Elephas maximus indicus: one gene and its partner. The protein of the gene in region 2 purifies or fractionates together with the protein of the main gene of each other region. This does not show direct contact. Links are inferred from orthologs where the notes say so. Each region holds a gene or a part of one and is shown on either strand. Other genes may lie near its edges.

What was found. Proteins that work in one complex are often made in the same cells at the same time.
Region 1: the proteins of TRMT112 (region 2) and ALKBH8 purify together in Homo sapiens (co-immunoprecipitation; 3 studies listed by IntAct, with this or other methods). This does not show direct contact. The link is inferred for Elephas maximus indicus from reciprocal best matches to the Homo sapiens genes TRMT112 and ALKBH8.

The regions. Positions count from the first base shown.
Region 1 is NC_064825.1:12,297,483-12,301,237, forward strand, and holds the start of ALKBH8 (alkylated DNA repair protein alkB homolog 8), read left to right. Parts: upstream 1-1,592; 5' UTR 1,593-2,232; coding exon 2,233-2,321; intron 2,322-2,845; coding exon of another isoform or gene 2,846-2,860; coding exon 2,861-2,996; intron 2,997-3,755.
Region 2 is NC_064825.1:127,493,990-127,496,729, forward strand, and holds TRMT112 (multifunctional methyltransferase subunit TRM112-like protein), read right to left. Parts: upstream 1,550-2,740; 5' UTR 1,451-1,549; coding exon 1,373-1,450; intron 1,284-1,372; coding exon 1,182-1,283; intron 1,080-1,181; coding exon 975-1,079; intron 898-974; coding exon 790-897; 3' UTR 636-789; downstream 1-635. Other genes in the region: PRDX5 (peroxiredoxin-5, mitochondrial), read left to right, coding at 2,087-2,272. UniProt on the Homo sapiens protein: Acts as an activator of both rRNA/tRNA and protein methyltransferases. Together with methyltransferase BUD23, methylates the N(7) position of a guanine in 18S rRNA.

The DNA of each region.
Region 1 (3,755 bases), about 120 Mb from region 2:
TCCTCAGCTTTTCTTGTCTTCTTAAACCATTCTGATCTGGCTGTTCTGAAAATTAGCCCTAATACAGTAATAGATGCATTTTATCCTCCTAACAAAGGTATGAGATAGACACTATTATTATACCAGTTTTACAGATGAAGAAACTGAAGCACAGAGATGAGAACTAACTCAACAGGTTCATACAACTAATAAGTGGTAGACCTGAGATTTGACTCCGAACTGCTGTGTTATATTGCCTCATAGCACCAACGAGATTCTGGGGAAACTAATAAAAGTATGATTTAATCCCTGTCATCAAAGTGCTGGTAGAGTATTGCAAGGCAACAGACATTAGAATAAATAATTACAATTAGTGCTATGTTAGAAATATCCATTCAGCTATCCCCTTCCTGTCTAGTGATCACTTCAAAACCTGTCTGTAATCTCAGTCTCTCTCCTGAGAGCCACTTCGTATTGTCATCTACTAGCCAGACATTGCAACTGTAGATCTCACTAGTAGTTCATCTATGATATATCCTAAATCTGACTCATTACCTCCCTTACAGAGCAGCTCATCCTGACTTTCCAGTTTTGAAATGACATCACTAGTCTCTTAGTCACTCAGGCTCCAACCTAGAAGTCATCTTTGATTTCCCTCTCCTCACTTCTGGGTGGTCATCAAGGCCGATTGATTCTACATGACTCCCGCCTTTGCTTTCTTCCTGCTGCCTCCACCCTAGATCAGGCCAGCATTTCCACTTGTCAAGCTGGATTACTGCAGGTTCCCATGCCTCTCATCTCCCTTCTGTGCTCTCCAGCCAGCTTACTTTCCCAGCCTTAGCGCCTGTCATGCACTCTGTGTGCTAGTTAGGCTGGTCTGGCTGTCTTTTCCATAGGCCTGGCATTTTCCTTCTCTTGAGATTTGTAATTAGAGTTTTGCCTGTCTTGTTTGTGAGGTGTTTTGGAATATGATTTAACTCTCTACATTCAGTTTGTAACTTTGAAGACTTTAAAAAGTGTGCAGAGAGTGGGACCATTGGGTTAGCAAACACTGTGCTCTGAAAACTATGCTTACCTCCTCTGTCTTTGCCAGACTTGTCCATTTTTCTTTGTAGCTTCTGTTCTTTATAGCTTTACTGCATATTTTCTTTCCATATGACTCCATATTCTTCTTATTCTTCAGTATTCAGCCAAATTCTCTTCTGTTTTGAAGTCTTCCCAAGTTTTTCCAGTTTTTTTTTTTTTTTTTTGTCTCTAATTCACGTCACACCTAAATACTGTGCTATTAGCACTTAATTGTATAAACCAGTTGCCGTTGAGTCGATTCTGACTTGTGGCAACCCTATGTGTGTCAGCTAGAACTGTTCTCCATAAGGTTTTCAGTGGCTGATTTTTTGGAAATCAATAGCCAGACCTTTTTTCCCAGGTGTCTGTAGGTGCACTCCAACCTTACAGTTAGTAGCTCAGTGTGTTAACTGTATTACCAAGATGTGTCATACTCTTTCATTGTTTAGTGTTTTTCTGTTTTCCTGAACTATATGTGTATTTCTAAACACATATAGACTTATTTTTAGATTTCAGACTTTATGTAAATGGAATCATACTGTGTGTGTGTATACATACAATATGAGATATATATATACCCGCGCACACACGTACACATATGTACACATATCTATTAGATTTGGTCCTAACAGTGTATTTGTGAAATTTGTGGCACATTGTCATGGATTGAATTGTGACCCCCCCCCCAATTTGTGTCCACTTAGCTAGGGAATGATTCCCAGTATTGTGAGGTTATCTTCTGTTTTGTGATCTGATGTAATTATTCTATGAGTATAGAGACCTGGTGGCACAGAGATAAAGAGCTCAGCTGCTAACTGAAAGGTTCTGGCAGTTTGAATTCACCAGCTCCTCCTTGGAAACCCTATGGGACAGTTCTACTCTATCCTGTAGGGTCTCTATGAGTCAGAATCAACTTGAAGGCAAAGAGTTTTTTTGTAAATCCTAACGTCTTTGGTATTAATGAGGCAGGATTAGCAGCAGCTATGTTAATTTTTTTTATGTTAATTAGGCAGGACACATTCTATAGGATTAGGTTGTATTTTGAGTCAATCTCTTTTGAGATATAAAAGAAAGAAGCAAGCAGAGAAGAGAGGGACCATCTACTACAAGAAAGAAGAGCTGGGAGCGGAGCATGTCCTAGGACCTGGGGTCCCTGCACTGAGGAACTCCTAGACCAGGGGAAGATTGATGATAAGGACCTTACCCAGAACTGAGAGAGAGAGAAGGCCTTCCTATGGAGCTGGAACCCTGAATTCGGACTTATCACGTTCTAAACTGTGAGAGACTAGATTTCTGTTGTGGTATTTTTGTTTTACCAGCACTAGGAAACCCTCGTGGCATAGTGGTTAAGTGCTATAGCTGCTAACCAAGAGATCGGCAGTTCAAATCCTCCAAGTGCTCCTTGGAAACTCTATGGGGCAGTTCTACTCTGTCCTATAGGGTCGCTATGAGTTGGAATTGACTCGACGGCAGTGGGTTTGGTTTTGGTTTTTGGTTTTAGATAACTAAGACATACGTTTTACCAAGGATTTCATAAGTAAAGAGATACATCACCTCAGGGTAAAGTAGCTCACTTAATGGACCTAAAGTATTAGAATGTTTTTTAGAACCCCTGGAGATGCTATTGGATGTTCTTACCACTTTGTTACTTTCTTAGACGTTACTTTATTGTCTGTGGATCTGTTTATTCTCATTTCTTGGTAAAAGAAAAACCAAGAATTTTTAAAAATTGTCACAGAAATATTTCTAAACTGTAGAATGTATGAACAGCATCATTATAATTGATATTGACACTTTTTAGTCTTTTTTTTTTCAGTATTGCTATGGACGGCAACCATCAAAGTGATCACAAACGCAGTAAAACTGAGAAGAAGTTCTTAAGGAAACAGATTAAAGCCAGGCACACTTTGCTGAGACACGAAGGCATTGAGACAGTGTCCTATGCCACTCAGGTGACCTAAAACTACTATGATCGTTTGAATGTAAATGTATTGCCATAGTAACCTATTGTATTAATATATGCTAATAATTTCTCAGAGAAAAAGCCTGTAATTATTTAGTCATGTGTTATATCCGTATTAAATACACACATGATCAAAAAAAACCATTGCTGTGGAGTGGATTCCGACTCATAGCAACCCTGTAGGACAGAGTAGAACTGCCCCAAGGGTTAGTTTCCAAGGAGCAGCTGGTGGATTCAAACTGCCGACCTCTTGGTTAGCAGCTGTAGCACTTAACTACTGTACCACCAGAGCTCCATACATATGATAGGACCTGCTAACTTTCTACTTTTGCTCTAGTTTGTAGCCTAGTCTATGGATTCAATTCCCATTAATTGTGTTAATTGAACTGAAGAAAGTTGTGGGTATATATTAACAATGGTAACACTGTACATCTCTTTTCATTTTCCAAAGTATAATTATGTTTATTATAATATTTAATTCCCTAAACATCCCTATGAGATAGGCGAGAACACTAAGGTTCTGAGTACTTGTGATGTGTTTATTAATATAAAGTGGGAAGTAGGTAAATAGACACTTAAAGCTACGTCTTTTGTGTCCTAATGCGGTCTTCTTTTTTCCGTACTCAGCTTCATCTGTAGCATAAAAAAGTGCTTTGATCATATGCTACAAAACATTTTTCACTTGTTAGATTTTATTTACAAAGCCTTTTCATTATCTGAAGGCAGCAAGTAAATGAGATAATGTATA
Region 2 (2,740 bases):
GCCAGGGCAATGCCATCAGCCCCTGGGAGCAGGCCCCACATCCTCCCCTCCCCAGGGGGGTGTCAGAAGCTGGGAATGTGTGTGCCCATCCTGTGGGCAGTGCTGCCCCTTGCAAGCCATAATGTGCCCCCAGAGTGTAGGGGGCCTTGCGGAAGCCATACGGGGCTCCAGGGGTGGTGTGGGGGGCAGAAGCCTGATCTCAGGGAGGGAAGGGGGTGGAGACTACAGTCTCCCAGTGGGTGATGCTTTTGCTGCTGCTTAATCCGACCCCCCCCTCCAGAGCAGAGGGGGACTTGGAAAGCAAAGGCCTTGCCCCCTTCGCTCCTCTCCTCATCATTTGCATTGGGCATTACTGCCCCGCCCCTTGAAGCAATAACTCCAAGCAGGCTCCAACCCCTGGACCCCCTGGGGTGGCCAGAGCCCCCATTAGCTCCTACCCGGCCTCCTCAGGGGGTAGGGAGAGCACTGCCTCTATGCCCTGCAGAGCAATAACACTATATTTATTTTTTGGTTTGGCCAGGGAGGCGCAGGGACATGGGGCAAGCCAAGGCCCAGAGCCTTTGGCTGTACAGAGACTCTATTTTAATGTATATTTGCTGCAAAGAGAAACCGCTTTTGGTTTTGAAACTTTAATGATAAAAAAAAATATATCCTATCGAGCTCAAGAACACTCTGTTCGGTGTGTCACTGGGCGGACGGTTGAAGATGCACACGACAAAGCCAGCAAACAATATACAAAAAAGCAAAGATACACACGGTTCCCGAACGAAAAAGGGGTGTCTGGGAAATTTAAGTCTCGGTTTCCTCATCGTTCAGCAGCATGTTGGGGATCCCGCGGCTGATGGGGAAGAGACGTCCGGACTCTGGGCATTGGAGGGTGCCCTCCAACACGTCCACCTGCGGGGAGGGGTGACAGCTGACACTGGCGGCCTGGGGCGGGGTAACGGGGGGAGAAGGTGGTGCGCCAGTCTCACCTCCAGCAGCACGTGGTGCATCTTCCTCAGAAATTTTTCATCGCGCTCGTATCCCTCAGTCGGCGCTTTGGGGACCTCGACCAGATGCAACTGCGGGCAAGAGGCCTAAATCATGTCTGGGCATCCCTGACCTTCCCCCTCGGGCCAGAGCCAGGTCCCGGGGGAGCGGGGTGACCACCCCCGGGGTGTCCACGGGCGGGTTCTCACGGTATCTGCCGCCTCCAGAAGAGCCGCCCACTCCACCTTGGGTATCATCCGCGCCACGAAGTCGGGGTTGAACTCCACGGGGTTGATGCGGACCTCGGTGGCCTGCAGGGCGGATCGGTGAGTTAGGCAGGACGGGACCCCTGCTTCCCCATCCCACCTGGGCGAGGCGCAAGAGGACCCCGGGCAGGTACCTGGAGCCGCAGGGGATAGCCGCGGGGCCCCACCCCCCGCACATGCGAGCTCAGCAAGTTGTGGGTGAGCAGCTTCATGTCGCCACTACGCGCTCGGGCATAGACCGGAGCCGGAAAAAGGCCCGCACCCCGTGCGTCACATCCGGGGCTGCGCCACTCTATCCCATTGGACGGCCGGGAGGACCGGAAGCGGCGAGCTTGCTGGAAGTACTCTTGCCTCTCGCCAGAGCTGTGGGCCGTAGAAACCGTCGGATCACGCGCCGCCGCCGGAAGCGTCCGCTCCTGCGGCGCACGCCCACTGGTTTTGGCGGGTCCCAGCCTCCCCCGGCTCCTGGAGTGTAAGTCACTTGTGAAACAATTGCGGTGCAGGGGGCCGCGTTGAATGCAAATAAACGTGGTTTTGCCTCTCACACAGGCGCCTGACCGCCCTCCATCCAAATAGAGCGGGACCTCCCCTTTTATGCAAATAGCTGCGGGACTGCCGAGTGCTCCGCCCCGTTTGTAATTGCGGCGTGGCCCCTCCCCGTATGCAAATAAGCGGAGTCGCGGTAGCTTGGTCCCCAGCGCTGCAGCCTACTGGCCGGTGGGCGGTCGCTGGAGGCCCGCGGAGCAGAAGCCCCACCTTTCACAGGCTCTGGGGTTCGCTCGCTTCGGGCCCCGCCTCCTGCGGGGGTCGGCCCGAGAGACCTGGCGGTTGCTGTCGCAGGGCTGGGCATGGGGCTGGCGGGGTTGCGCGTTCTGGGCGGTCCAGCGGGTTTGGTGCTCAGTGGGGCGGCCGTCGTTGAGTCTGCAGCAGCGGCAGCGGTGGGAGCAGGACGGCGACCGGGAGGAAGAGGAGAGTGGACGCTTGGCGGGACTCGCAGTTTCAACAGAGCAGCCGCAGCCATGGCCCCGATCAAGGTGACCGCCTGCCTGGCCGGACCCGACCCCGTCTCTTCCCAGAACCGCCACCCGTCCCACTCGTCTGGGGGTGTCACCCTCTGTTTTGCCCTTCGGAGCCCTCCCGCCGCTGGTCCCCTCACCCTTCATCAAGACCGCCCTGACTGCTCCCACCCCCTTTCTCGCCACAATTTGGAGCTTCGTGCCCTTTTTGTCCGGGAACAGTCTAGGGCCTTCTCGTTCCCCCATCTTCTGGGACCATCTCCTTCGCCCCAGGGCTCCCTCCCCACTCTCCGCAGGTTCCCCACCGTAACCTATCCCACACTTTTGTCATTGCAAGGCATCGCTCTTCACCCCCCCACCACCCCCGCTTAAACAATTGTTGACCCTCAGAGCCTGTTTTTTTTTTTTTTTGCCCGTTCTCCTCCGCGACATTTTTCCCTCTACCCAGAGTTAATTTTCATCTTTCTGTTCAGTCTTTTACTCCTC